2 linked regions of the Macaca fascicularis genome follow. Each later gene encodes a partner of the first gene's protein in a complex. Links are inferred from orthologs where the notes say so. Each region holds a gene or a part of one and is shown in the gene's direction. Other genes may lie near its edges.

Region 1 (7,289 bases):
TACTAAAAATATAAAAATTAGCCAGGTGTAGTGGTGCAATCCTGTAATCCCAGCTACTTAGGAAGCTGAGGCATGAGAATCACTTGAGCCTGGGAGGTGGAGCCTGCAGTGAGCCAGGATCGCGCCATTGCACTCTAGCCTGGGCAGCAGAGCAAGACTCTGACTGAAAAAAAAAAAGATTAACCAGGTGTGGTGGCAGGCACCTGTAATCCCAGCTACGCAGGAGGCTGAGGCAGGAGAATCACTTGAACCCAGGAGGTGGAGGTTGCAGTGAGCCGAGATCACGCCATTGTATTCCAGCCTGGGTAACAGAGCAAGACTCGTCTCAAAAAATGTGTATATTTATAACAGGCTGGGTGTGGTTGCTCCTGCCTTTAATCCCAACACTTTAGAAGGCCAAGGCGGGAGGATCACTTGAGGTCAGGATCCAACCTGGGCAACAGAGTGATACCCTGTCACATGCACAAAAAATAACAGTTGAAATTATTTGAGTATGATTTACATGACTCTAGTAAACTTATTGATTTCAGTAATTTGAAAATATTTTATCTGGAAGTTTTATACAATTTCAGTAATGTTTTTTCACTTAGCTTCATGTTGGTGTTGACCCTCCTTACTCCAGTGTGCTGTGCAAATTGTGATCATTCTCTGTAAGCAGTGCTCTCTGGCAGAGAATGGGCCAGGTCCCAGTGCTGGAAACTGAACTACTCTCACCTGAATCATATCCCCCAACTGTCCTAAACCACAGGCCGAATCCGGGTGCATGGTATTGGTGGGGGCCACAAGCAACGTTATCGCATGATTGATTTTCTGCGTTTCCGGCCTGAGGAGACCAAGTCAGGACCCTTTGAGGAGAAGGTTATCCAAGTCCGCTATGATCCCTGTAGGCAAGTTTGGGATGTGGGATGATGATGGAATGGTCTGAATAACTGCATAGCTTCTCAGGAGATATAGGGCTGCCTAGATGGTCTGCTTACCTGTCCCTCACCCTGATCAGGTCAGCAGACATAGCTCTGGTTGCTGGGGGCAGCCGGAAACGCTGGATCATCGCCACAGAAAACATGCAGGCTGGAGATACAGTCTTGAACTCTAACCACATAGGCAGAATGGCAGGTGAGAGATGGCTACCAGATGTGTGGGCTGGAGGCAGCAAAGGTTCTAGAGCTAATGAAATCCTGTCTTTTAGTTGCTGCTCGGGAAGGGGATGCGCATCCTCTTGGGGCTCTGCCTGTGGGGACCCTCATCAACAACGTGGAAAGTGAGCCAGGCCGGGGTGCCCAATATATCCGAGCTGCAGGTATGGGGAAAGGAGTTGCCTGGGTCCTATAGTTTGGAAAGGCAAGGAGAGTCTGAACCCATGGTTCCACATCTGGTACTGGCAGAGAAAATTAAGGAAAAAACAAGAAACATGAGGATGAAGATATGCATGTGTTTTGACCTAAAATGTAGCATGCATCCTTCTTTGTGTATCTGTTCCTAAAGAGCAAAGCAAGGGCAGCATATGGGATGTGGCCCCTGTGTAAATTCCTCTGCACCCCCCCGTTTTGTGGAGGGTGGCAGATCAGCTTCTTTCCCCAGGGACGTGTGGTGTGCTACTGCGGAAGGTGAATGGCACAGCCATTATCCAGCTGCCGTCTAAGAGGCAGATGCAGGTGTGTATGGGTATGGCTGGGAGGGGTCAGCAAAGGAGGAATTTTTGGAATATAACTTTCCTGTCTGGGGTAGGTAGGTCCCAGGTGTTTTATGATGCAAGGAACTGCCTTGAGCTAAGGCTGTCCTTTTCTGCCACATGACTTAGGTGTGCTTTGTCGGATTGGCACCATAAGTAATTTTTTTTTTTTCGAGACAGAGTCTTGCTCTGTCGCCCAGGCTGGAGTGCAGTGGCACGATCTTGGCTTACTGCAACCTCCACCTCCCAGGTTCAAGCAGTTCTCCTGCCTCAGCCTCCTGAGTAGCTGGGATTGCAGGCATGCACCACCACAGCTGGCTAATTTTTGTGTTTTAGTAGAGATGGGGTTTCACCACGTTGGCCAGGCTGGTCTCGAACTCCTTACCTCGTAATCCGCCTGCCTTGGCCTCCCAAAGTGCTGAGATTACAGGAGTGAGCCACTGTGCTCGACCCTAATTTTTTTTGAGACAGGGTCCCTATTGCTTGAGTGCAGTGGCACAGTCAGCTCACTGCAGCCTCAAACTCCTGGGTTCAAGCAATTCTGCCTCAGCCCCCCAAGTAGCTGGGACTACAGGCGCACGCCACTATACCAGGCTAATTTTCGTATTTTTGTAGAGGCAAGGTATCACCATGTTGGCCAGGCTGGTCTCAAACTCCTGAGCTCAAGCGATCTGCCTGCCTAGGCTTCCGAAGTGCTGGAATTACAGGTGTGACCCACTGCACCTGGCCCTGGCTAATATTTTTTATTTTTGTAGAGATGGGGTCTCATTATGTTGCCCAGGCTGGTCTCGAACTTCTGAGCTCAAGTGATCCTCCAGCCCCGGCCTCCCAAAGTGCTGGGATTACCGGCCTGAGTCCTTGCGCCCAGCTCTTTGTTTTCAACTACCTAGTTCCTACTGTAGGACCTTCACTTAGCTTCAACCATCTTGTGCTTTTCCTTTTTCCTCTCTCCTCTCCTTGAGTCTAAGAAGCCCCCCAAGGGTTTTGCTGTCAACACTGTCAAGCTCTTTCCCCCACATTGTATAGAATCTCCATCTGTTTTCTCTGTCAGGTGCTGGAAACGTGCATAGCAACAGTAGGCCGAGTATCCAACGTTGATCATAACAAACGGGTCATTGGCAAGGCAGGTCGCAACCGCTGGCTGGGCAAGAGGCCTAACAGTGGGCGATGGCACCGCAAGGGAGGCTGGGCTGGCCGAAAGATTCGGCCACTACCCCCTATGAAGAGTTACGTGAAGCTGCCTTCTGCTGCTGCCCAAAGCTGATATCCCTGTACTCTAATAAAATGCCTCCCCCTCCTGTAATCTGTTACTGGTTTTTTGCGGGAGGGGATGGTACAGACTGAACGTGGGGAAAAGAAGTAAAAAGTGTGGGAGGAAAAGAAAGTACAGGACACTGGGTCTGTCCCCACCCCAATTCCCTTACAGGTAATGGAGCCGGGGGTGGAAATAAATGACGTCCAAGGCCTTTTCCAGTTGTGACTGGGAAACAGGGTGGGCACTTCCGCAGGAGGGAGGACAAAAGGAAGAGGAAAGGGCGGCGCAGAGGAGGAGGTGCTGCGTCGCCAAGGTGGCATCCGCGGCTCCTCCCCGGCCCTTTCCCAGGGCCCCTAGCCTTCCGCTGGGTCCGGCGGAAATGAGCCGTGGCTTTTGGCTGGCGGAGACGCTGGCAGGGACCAGGCTCCACCCTGCCCCAGTGGCTGCCGACCCAGGCGGCTGCCGCTCTGTTCCGCAGAGGCACGCCCCTTCCTGTCTCTCCGTCTCGACCCCCTCGCGGGGCCCAGGTGGGGCCCGAGTCGCCGCCAGCATCTGTGCCGCGTCCCTTGCTCTGTGAAGGACAGGCCTCGCGCCAGGACCCCGGTGGACTTCTGAGGTGGCCAGAGCCCCGCCGCGGCCCCTTGCTCCTCTCCTGCCCACTTGCCCATCGAGCCTTGCGCTCACCCAACCTCGGTTCCCCATCCTACTGGGCCTCGGGGTTCTAGTTTATGGGGCCTAATCCCCCCTCCCCCACTTTACCGCGCGCCCCTGGCTTCTCGGGTCTCCAACCTCGGTCCCCCAAGCCTCGCGCCCCTCACCTACCTTGTCTGTGCACCCTGCCCTGGGTCTCGCGGCGCCCCCACCAGCCCTTTTGTTCCAGTTGCTCCAGTCGCTCCAGTCAGAGGCGCCTCCAACCCACCAGTGCCTCCTCCCAGTCCATCGCGCCTTGCCCTCCCACTCCACCACCAGTTCTCAGGTCTCTTAATTCTGCGATCTCGGGACTCTTAACTTGGGTCTCACACTCCCATGCTCCAATCCTTAGAGACAGCACCCCTTTCCACACACACTCAGGATCTCCCTCCCAAACATAGCCCTCTGGGCTTCACATATCCCCAGGGTAGCTGCCTGTTTCAAGGCCTTGGGATTCACTTGTAACTCCAAGGCTGCCCTGCCTGCCCCCACTAGTCTGCCCACTGTTCCAAACCAACCCACTCCAGGCCTCAGGGTCTTGGGGACCTTCCTTTTAGCCCCCAAATTTTGTGTTATTTCACAACAAAACACCCCAGTAGTTCTCTGCTTAGGCCTGCCCCGACTCAGCATGCAGCATGCAACTCCTGGGCCTGGCTTTACCCCACCCCGCCTGACAGCTGTTGCCATTTGCTTTCCCACCTCCTGGATGTCTTTGATTTTCTGACCTCTCCTTACTCTAGCTTGTCTGTTCTCTTTTCCTTGTGTGCTCCAGGTGCCAGGATGGTGGGGGAACTCCGCTACAGGGAATTCAGGGTGCCCCTGGGGCCTGGCTTACATGCCTATCCTGATGAGCTGATCCGCCAGCGAGTGGGCCATGATGGGCATCCTGAGTACCAGATCCGTTGGCTCATCCTGCGGCGTGCCGATGAGGGTGACGGGGGCTCTGGCCAAGTGGACTGCAAGGCTGAGCACATCCTGCTGTGGATGTCCAAGGATGAGATCTATGCCAACTGCCACAAGATGCTGGGCGAGGATGGCCAGGTCATCGGGCCCTCCCAGGAGTCTGCAGGGGAGGTTGGGGCCCTGGACAAATCTGTGCTGGAGGAGATGGAAACCGATGTGAAGTCCCTCATTCAGAGAGCCCTTCGGCAGCTGGAGGAGTGTGTGGGCACCATCCCTCCTGCTCCTCTACTTCACACTGTCCACGTGCTCAGCGCCTATGCCAGCATCGAGCCCCTCACTGGGGTATTCAAGGACCCAAGAGTCCTGGACTTGCTCATGCACATGTTGAGTAGTCCCGATTATCAGATTCGCTGGAGCGCAGGCCGGATGATACAAGCCCTGTCCTCCCATGATGCTGGTGAGGGGCAGTGTGGGGAGGAAGGGAAAGCAGAAGGGCTGGGTCGGCTCAGGGACTCACAGGACACTGTGGCAGGAGCCTCTGATCTCATCAGTACGTAAATGATTCTGTTGCCCTTCTCTTAGAGTTGGAAGAAAAGGAGGTGGGAATGGGAGTGAGGGTGGGGGTTATCTGCCAAAAGAGGAAAGACTATCTTCAATAACCTCATATTAATTAGTTGCTTTTTATGCAAAGGAAGAATTTACAGTTTAGACTATTGTAGATGGTGTTTATGTGCGTGTGTGTATGTATATAAGTTGTCAAATTTTAGCTTTTGAAGCAAATCAGTTCTTTCCCATTGTGTGGTGGCAAAAGGATTGGATTGAAAGAATAGAGGGTCTAAGATTTCTAGGAAGGGTGAGATTAGGGAGAAGTTACTAATTGGGATATGGGTTACAGGGACCCGGACTCAAATCCTTCTGTCACTGAGCCAACAAGAAGCCATTGAGAAACACCTGGATTTTGACAGCCGCTGTGCTCTGCTAGCACTGTTTGCACAGGCCACGCTCTCTGAACATCCCATGTCTTTTGAGGGCATTCAGCTACCACAGGTAACCTTTGGGGGTATAAGGTAGGGGGAGCTTGTGAACAAGATCTAGGGACCAGGCCTTTGCACCTATCTACAGAGGATGGTATGGAGAGAGGGTCTTAAACTGGGACAAGGTGGATGTAGGCCAAAGGTTGTATCCCACAGGTCCCAGGAAGGGTGCTCTTCTCCCTCGTGAAGCGGTATTTGCATGTCACCTCGCTCCTGGATCAGCTGAACAACAGTGCTGCGGAGCCAGGAGCCCAGAACACTTCTGCTCCTGAGGAGTTGAGTGGGAAGAGGGGTCAACTGGAGCTGGAGTTCAGTATGGCCATGGGCACCCTGATCTCGGAGCTGGTGCAAGCCATGCGCTGGGACCAGGCCACAGACAGACCAAGGAGCTCAGCACGGTTCCCCGGTTCCATCTTCCAGCCTCAGCTGGCAGATGTGAGCCCAGGGTTCCCCACTGCCCAGGCTCAGCCCTCCTTCAGGAGGTCAAGACGTTTTCGCCCTCGTTCTGAGTTTGCAAGCGGCAATACCTATGCCTTGTATGTGCGGGACACACTGCAGCCGGGGATGCGAGTGCGGATGCTGGATGATTATGAGGAGATCAGTGCCGGGGATGAGGGCGAGTTTCGGCAGAGCAACAGCGGCGTGCCTCCTGTGCAGGTGAGTGGCATATGGTGGTGGGACACTGTTAGGGGTCTATTTGGGGTGGGGCAGAGTTGGGGCTTCCATACAGAGGGGCTCCAGCAGACCACCCAAAGAGAAAGCTTTCTATAAGATTGGGATGGTGAAAAAGAGTCAGTAGTTGAGAGGCGGGCCATTCTGAGAGCTGGAAAATCTGGGTTTAGGAGGCTGTGAAGTCAAGAAGACTCACACAGGAAGAAACTGATATAGCCAGACTCCTCCAAAGGTCAGGGTCAGGGAGATGGAGTGGTAGAGGCCAGAAGGAAGTGTGGGGGCATAAGCCGTGAAAGATAGGGTGAGAGGAAAGACAGGCCCATCCCCCAAAGGAGAGGGCATCCTTTGTGTGTGTGTGTGTGTGTGTGTGTGTGTGTGTGTGTGTGTGTGTGTATACTCCATATGCTGCTGTTTTGTTATATGAAGGTTTTTCTAAAACCTGGCCAGGTGGTCACCCTGAGGGCTATAAGTCCTCAGTACTAGGCCACAGCCAGTCATTAGTGAGTCCTCCCTTCCCCTTCCCTCTCTTTCTTTCCCTATTCTCCAGGTATTGTGGGAGTTAACAGGCCGCACCTATTGGGTGCACTGGCACATGCTGGAGATCTTGGGCTTTGAGGAAGACGTTGAGGACATGGTTGAGGCTGATGAGTACCAAGGGGCGGTGGCCAGTAGAGTCCTGGGTAGAGGTGAGCTCAGGGAGTAAGCAAGGGTCAGCTCTGAGCAGAGTAACGGTGGTCCTGCTCAGTTGCTAGTGACATCCCTGTGCCCCTCGGCCCATTTCCACAGCCCTGCCCGCCTGGCGCTGGAGGCCCATGACGGAACTCTATGCTGTGCCTTATGTGCTGCCTGAGGATGAGGACACTGAGGAGTGTGAACACCTGACCCTGGCTGAGTGGTGGGAACTCCTCTTCTTCATCAAGAAGCTGGATGGACCTGACCATCAGGAGGTTCTCCAGATCCTCCAGGAGAACCTAGATGGGGAGGTAGAGCCAGCCTGGAGGCACTCAGAGGTTGGAGGGCTCTATTGCAAGGGCTGGACTGTATAGAGCATTTGAAAGGCTCAGGA
Region 2 (7,141 bases), on another chromosome or scaffold:
CCACCGGCCTCAGCCTCCCAAACTGCTGGGATTAAAGGCGTGAGCCATGGCGCCCAGCCTGAGATGGAGAATTTTCAAAAGAGTAGAGACAGATGGGACCTAAGTTTTTAAAAGATGCCCCCAGCTTCTGGGTGGGGCCTGGATTGCAAGCAGTGATGGGGAGGCAGGGAGCCCAGTCAGGGGGATTTGTACACATCCAGGCAAGACAGCCTGCAAGTATTATGGCTGTTAAGGGGTTAAATGGTTCAACGCATTTAGGAGAATGAGATTAGCTGTGTCTTTAGCGTCTGCTACTGTTTATGCTAGTGCCCAAGATCTGGTTCTAATATTAGATCCACCACTCGGAGCTGTGCAACTTCAGACCGGCCTCAGTTTCCCCATCTGTAAAAAGATGATTGATGGCACTGGCCTTATTACCATGTACCTCTCAGAATTCCTAACAAGGAGGCCTATTCAGCATATCTCTTGATGCCTGGTTCCAAAGATGTGGACCAATGCTAGTCGCAAGTACTGTAGCAGGAGGAGCTTCCGACAAAACCCCTCAAACACCGGGTTAAGGAAGGATTTGGCTTTATTCCGACGGGAGCTTCAGCAGACTCGCCTCTCCACTGCCGGGAGCTTCGGTAGACTCGCGTCTCAAGAACCGAGCCTACTAGCATTGGTCCACATCTTGACTGTGTGTGTGTGTGTGTTTTTTTGTTTGTTTGTTTGTTTGTTTTTTACATGGAGTCTCGCTCTGTTGCCCAGGCTGGAGTGCAGTAGTGCGATCTCGGCTCACTGCAACCTCGGCCTCCCGGGTTCAAGAGATTCTCCTGCCTCAGCTTCCAGAGTAGCTGGGACTACAGGCACATACCACCACACCTGGCTAATTTTTTTGTATTTTTAGTAGAGACGGGGTTTCACCACGTTAGCCAGGATGGTCTTGATCTCCTGACCTCGGAATCCGCCTGCCTTGGCCTCCCAAAGTGCTGGGATTACAGGCGTGAGCCACCATGCCCGGCCATCTTGACTCTTTGGTGGGCACAAAAGGCAGACTATTCTGGATTCAAATCCAAACTCAACCACTCCCCCTGGCTGTGACCTTGAAAGAGTGGTTTTATGTCCTTGGGCATCAGTTTCTTCAGCTGTCTAATGGGAGTTGTACTCATGCTACCAGTCTCCTGCTATAGCAAGGATTTCCTGAGTTCATTCATAGAAAGCACTGGGAATGGTGCCTACTACACAAGAAGCGCCTCATAAACCGTGCCTATCCTTAGCCATCTCATTCTTTTTTCAAAGTTGCAAAATATTTCACTGTAAGATACTACCATAAAATAGAGGCAGTATCTACTCATGAACTTTTAGGCTTTTTTGTTGTTGTTTATTTGTGGGGTTTTTTTGGTTTTGTTTTTTGTTTTTTTTTTTTTTTTTTTTTTTTTTTTGTTTTTGTTTTTTTGAGACAGAGTCTCCCTCTGTTGCCCAGGCTGGAGTGCAGTGGCGCCATCTCTGCAACCTCCACCTCCCGGGTTCATGCCATTCTCCTGCCTCAGCCTCCCGTGTAGCTGGGACTACACACGCACACCACCACACCCGGCTAATTTTTGTATTTTTTGTAGAGACGAGGGTTTCACCATGTTGGCCAGGCTGGTCTCGAACTCCTGGCCTCCAAGTGTTCCACCCGCCTAGGCCTCCCAAAGTGCTGGGATTACAGGCATGAGCCACCGCGCCTGGCTATGAACATTCAGGTTTATTCATCCACTCAAAAATATGTAGAGCCCTGACCTCCTGCCAAGCGTCACAGGGGGACTGTTGCAATAAGATCCCGGTACCCATTTCTCTACCCACGCGTCTGGGTGTACGGGTACGGATAGTCGCGTGAATTTAAAATGCTAATCTATGGTGCCAGTGGCTCTCAAAAGGTAGAATCCACTGGCACACCCACCTCCAGGACTTGGCTGGAAACTTGTACATTTCGGATGGCAGGTTTGGGAACCGCTGCCTTTCAGCAAAGGTGCTGACGTGGGCCACCGCCGCTTCGCTGGGAAGCAATGGGCCCAGCTAGGCCCCAGGCGCGGCCACACCCCTGTGGGGGAGGGGAAGGAGGCTGCCCCGAAGAGAGTGGACAGCCCCCCTGTCAGTCTTCCAGAGTCTGGGAGTGTAAGATGAGACGGGGGAAGGTGGGCCTCATTCTGGCGGAGGGCAAGGAGGAACTTCCTGCTGGTGCGCTCCACCGTGCAGAGCCCTAAGCGCGCGGGCTGGCAGGCTGCGGCGCGTCAAGGTCAGCCTGGAGCTGGGTGGTGGCCTGCCTGGGGGCGGGGGACCCTACTGGGGGGCCGGGCTGAGGCCTCTCAGCGCCTCCGCCATATTGAATAGCCTCGACTGGACCGTCTTTGTCTGCGAAGTCCTCTCCCAAGTTCCAACCGCGTCCCAGGGGCCTGGGGCAGGAAGAATCGCTGGCAGCCCGCGCGCCCCAACTTGGAGCCGGGACACCACGTTTCCAGCTTGGAGTGGGCCTTGAACCTTGGGACTGACCTCGCCCCCGGCTCACGTAGGCATCCTGGAAATTGATTCTCCCAAGTCCTTGGTGGAGGAGCCGGACTTGGTCAAGACTGGACTTGTTGCAGGAGAAGAGATTGGAGGCGTTGACTCGTCCCTGGCTGGGGAGGTGAGACTCTGCGGTCAGCGTTGCTGGGACTCCCCCCATCCAGTCCCTCCCTCAAGACTAAGGGCTACAGTAGTTTGTTGGGGCTCTTTGCTCCCTCACCCCAGATATCACCCTGGAGATCTTAAAGACTCTCGAGAAAAGCCACGTGGGGGGCTGGTTCCCCTGGGGCTTCCTCCCGTCCCCCGACTGCCTCATTCTTTGGAGCGTCCCCGATGTCTGCAAAGATGTGGATTTGGACGTCCTCGTGGAAGCCCTAAAACCCGTGGGAACATTTAAGAAGATCGGCAAGGTGTTCCGCAAGGAGGAGGACTCCACGGTGGGGATGCTGCAGATCGGGGAGGACGTCGACTATTTGCTCATCCCCCGGGAGGTCAGGCTGGCCGGGGGCGTCTGGAGAGTCATCTCTAAGCCTGCCACCAAGGAAGCAGAATTTCGGGAGCGGCTGACCCAGTTCCTGGAAGAACAGGGCCGCACCCTGGAGGACGTGGCCCGCATCATCGAGAAGAGCACCCCGCACCCGCCCCAGCCCCCCAAAAAGCCCAAGGAGCCCCGAGTGAGGAGGAGAGTGCAGCAGATGGTGACTCCTACGCCCCGGCTGGTCGTGGGCACGTATGACAGCAGCAACGCCAGCGACAGCGAGTTCAGCGACTTCGAGACCTCCAGAGACAAGAGCCGCCAGGGCCCGCGGCGGGGCAAGAAGGTGCGCAAAATGCCCGTCAGCTACCTGGGCAGCAAGTTCCTGGGAAGCGACGTGGAGAGCGAGGATGATGAGGAACTGGTGGAGGCATTTCTCCGGCGACAGGAGAAGCAGCCCCCCGCGCCGCCTGCCCGCCGCCGCGTCAACCTGCCAGTGCCCATGTTTGAGGACAACCTGGGGCCTCAGCTGTCCAAGGCGGACAGGTGGCGGGAGTATGTCAGCCAGGTGTCCTGGGGGAAGCTGAAGCGGAGGGTGAAGGGTTGGGCGCCGAGGGCGGGCCCCGGGGTGGGCGAGGCCCGGCTGGCCTCCATCCCAGTGGAGAGCGCAGGGGTATCCTCCGGCACCAGCCCCGGGGATCCCGGGGATCCTGTGGAAAATGTGGGAGATGTCTGTGCCCCGCAGGCCTCCCCTAGGCGATGGAGGCCCAAGATCAACTGGGCCTCGTTTAGGCGCCGCAGGAAGGAGCAGACAGCGCCCACAGGTCAGGGGGCAGACATCGAGGCTGATCAGGGGGAAGAGGCTGCAGATAATCAGAGGGAAGAGGCCATAGCTGACCAGGAGGAAGAGGCTGCAGGTAATCAGAGGGCAGGGGCCCCAGCTGACCAGGGGGCAGAGGATGCAGATAACCATAGGGAAGAGGCTGCAGATAATCAGAGGGAAGAGGCCATAGCTGACCAGAGGGAAGAGGCTGCAGGTAATCAGAGGGCAGGGGCCCCAGCTGACCAGGGGGCAGAGGCTGCAGATAACCATGGGGAAGAGGCTGCAGATAATCAGAGGGCAGAGGCCCCAGCTGACCATAGGCCACAGGGTGCAGATAACCTGAGGGAAGAGGCTCTAGCTGACCAGGGGTCAGAGGCTACAGATCCTCAAAGGGAAGAGGCCATACATGACCAGAGGGAAAGGGCCCCAGCTGTCCAGCGTGCAGGTAATCAGAGGGCACAGGCCCGGGCTGGCCAAAGGGCAGAGGCTGCACATAATCAGAGGGCAGGGGCCCCAGGTATCCAGGAAGCTGAAGCCTCAGCTGCCCAAGGGGCCACAGGAACAGCTTCAGGAGCCAGGGCCCGGAAACAGGTCAAGACAGTGAGGTTCCAGACCCCTGGACGCTTTTCGTGGTTTCGCAAGCCCCGGAGAGCCTTCTGGCACACTCCCCGGTTGCCAACCCTGCCCAAGAGAGTCCCCAGGGCAGGCGAGGCCAGGAGCCTCAGGGTGCTGAGGGCCGAGGCCAAAGCAGAAGCTGAACAGGGAGAGCGAGAAGACCAGCTGTGAGGTGAGGGCTAGAGACAGCCCACGGGCCCTCCCTACAAGCGTGGGAGAGAAAGTTGCTCTTTCTGCCTCTGAACTTGAAAGTGGAGTTGGAGTGCTGCCCACATCTCCACCTTACAACCCTCTTTATTCTCTTGTTAAAGTTTTGTCTCATGCGTTGATTTTTAAAAAATTTTTTAGAGACAGGGTCTCACTCTGTTGCCCAGGCTGGAGTGCAGTGGCATGATCACTGCAGCCTCAAACTTCTGGCCTCAACTGATCCTCCTGCCTCGGCCTCCCAAAGTGCTGGGATGACAGGTGTGAGCCACCACACGTACCACCTGATAAAATATATATATATATATATACACACACACACACACACACATATATATACTGATTCCTTGTAGCAACCCAAAAAATGTAAAGAAAGAATTCGATACAAGGGGGTTCTGTCACCTATAGTTTTAATTTCCTCAAATGCAACTCAAGGTGCTCAGCTTGATAAAAGGAGAGCGGGAGGGCAGGGGAGAAATTGCCTGCTTTTCCTGTCCCTTTTTTGCCTGCACACTTAACGTGGACTGCCTCCTTGGACTTAAAAAGAGGACTTGAGCCAACATGCAAATAAAAAAACATTTATGAACTGGTTTCTTAGCTTTGGACTTGGCAACTGACGAATGCTCTGGGGGTGACCCGGCCCTTCCTGTCCGTTCTACTCCCATCCTTGAAGATGGAGACACCTGTGTTTATGTTGTCACTTCGCTTGCCATCCTCATGCCCCTGGACTCTGCTGCTTTGGAGGGGACAGGGCCCTTGGTTTGCATACCTCTCCCGATCTTGGTTGTAAGGTACAGTAAAAGCATCTGAAAAATGCGTTCAAAACACAGATTCTGGGGCCCTCAGCATCAGAGATGTGGATTTGCTAGCGGTGCCTGTGTGGCTCTGAATTCTGTTTGCATCAAGCTTCCAAACATCTGGGCAATTCGGCCATTGGACACATTGAAAACTCATTGCAATAAGAAAAGGCCTAAAAGAGGGGCTGTGGTTGGCTGGACGTGGTGGCTCACACCTGTAATCCCAGCACTTAGGGGGGCCGAGGCGGGTGGATACAAACAAGGTCAAGAGATCAAGACCATCCTGGCCAACATGGTGAAACCCTGTCTCTACTAAAAATACAAAAATTAGCCTGGCCTGGTGGTGCACGCCTGTAGTCCCAGCTACTCGGGAGGCTGAGGCAGGAGAATCTCTTGAACCCGGAAGGTGGAGGTTGCAGTGAGCCGAGATCGCACCATTGCACTCCAGCCTAGTGACAGAGTGAGACTCTGTCTCAAAAAAAAAAAAAAAAAAAAAAGGCTGTGTGTATTGTGCATTAATTGCTTGTGCATTAATTGCTGCTGCTGGTTCTTTTTTTTTGAGATGGAGTCTCTGTCACCCAGGCTGGAGTATGGTGGCGCGATCTCGGTTCACTGCAACCTCCGCCTCCCGGGTTCAAGTGATTCTCCTCCCTCAGCCTCCCGAGTAGCTGGGACTACAGGCGTGTGCCACCACACCTGGTTAATTTTTGTATTTTTAGTAGAGATGGGGTTTCACCATGTTGGCCAAGCCTGTCTTGAACTCCTAACCTCAACTGATCCGCCCACTTCAGCTTCCCAAAGTGCTGGGATTACAGGCATGAGCCACTGCGCCCAGCCAACTGCTTCCTATGATTGGGAAGAAATTGGGTTGCTAAGGCCCTGTGGAGGTTGGGAGGAAGCTGGGGGCCTCTCTCTGTATTGCCTTGTGTCCCCACAACCCCCAGCAGTGAAAAACAGCAAATGACCAGACTCGAGCCTTGCTGAGGGCAGGAGAAAAGGGAGTTTATGGAGGTCCAGGGGCCAGTCTGTCTTCCTAACTGGTTGCAGGCCTGGCCTAAGTTTCTTACTTTTTTTCTCTGGAAAGTAAAGAATTGTATCCCACCACCCTCCTTTTGTCTTTCTCTCTTCCACGCTCCTCCCTCCCTCCCTTCCTTCCCCTCCTTCCCCTCCTTCCCCTCCGCTCCCCTCCCTCCCTCCCTCCCTCCCTCCCTTCCTCCCTTCCTTCATCTTTCTCTTTCTTTTTCTTTCTCCCTACCTCCCTTCCTCCCTTCCTTCCTCCCTTCATTCCAATTTTCCTTCCTTCCTTCCTTCCTTCCTTCCTTCCTTCCTTCCTTCCTTCCTTCCTTCCTTCCTTCCTTCCTTCCTCCTTCCTTCCCTCCCTCCCTCTCTCCCTCTCTCCCTCTCTTTCTCTTTTCTTTCTTTCTGTCTCTCTCTCTTTCTCTCCTTTCTCTTTCTCTCTCTCTCTTTTCTTTCTTTCAAGGCAGTGTCTGGCTCTGTCACCTAGGCTGGAGTGCGGTATTGCAATCACGGCTCACTTGCACTCTTGGGATCAAGCGATCCTCTGGCCTCGGCTTCCGAGAGCACTGGGATGATGGGAGTGAGCCACCGCGCCCCACCCCAGCTCTTTTCTGAGTGGAGTGGTTACTGCTGGTGCTGCTTGCTGCCTGGCGTGCTGCATGGCCTTGCTAGAGCCCTTTTGTGCAT

What was found. The genes of interacting proteins can lie anywhere in the genome.
Region 2: CUL7 (region 1) and CCDC8 share a complex: the UniProt entries of both Homo sapiens proteins name them as parts of the 3M complex. The link is inferred for Macaca fascicularis from reciprocal best matches to the Homo sapiens genes CUL7 and CCDC8.

The regions. Positions count from the first base shown.
Region 1 is NC_088378.1:128,475,910-128,483,198, forward strand, and holds the start of CUL7 (cullin-7), read left to right. Parts: upstream 1-3,299; 5' UTR 3,300-3,303; coding exon 3,304-3,451; exon of another isoform or gene 3,452-3,540; intron 3,541-3,804; exon of another isoform or gene 3,805-3,900; intron 3,901-4,386; coding exon 4,387-5,067; intron 5,068-5,412; coding exon 5,413-5,564; intron 5,565-5,707; coding exon 5,708-6,208; intron 6,209-6,770; coding exon 6,771-6,909; intron 6,910-7,009; coding exon 7,010-7,206; intron 7,207-7,289. Other genes in the region: MRPL2 (large ribosomal subunit protein uL2m), read left to right, coding at 749-887, 998-1,113, 1,187-1,297, 1,579-1,652, 2,721-2,933. UniProt on the Homo sapiens protein: Core component of the 3M and Cul7-RING(FBXW8) complexes, which mediate the ubiquitination and subsequent proteasomal degradation of target proteins. Core component of the 3M complex, a complex required to regulate microtubule dynamics and genome integrity.
Region 2 is NC_088393.1:54,432,917-54,440,057, reverse strand, and holds CCDC8 (coiled-coil domain-containing protein 8), read left to right. Parts: upstream 1-2,165; 5' UTR 2,166-2,966; coding exon 2,967-4,607; 3' UTR 4,608-5,230; downstream 5,231-7,141. UniProt on the Homo sapiens protein: Core component of the 3M complex, a complex required to regulate microtubule dynamics and genome integrity. It is unclear how the 3M complex regulates microtubules, it could act by controlling the level of a microtubule stabilizer.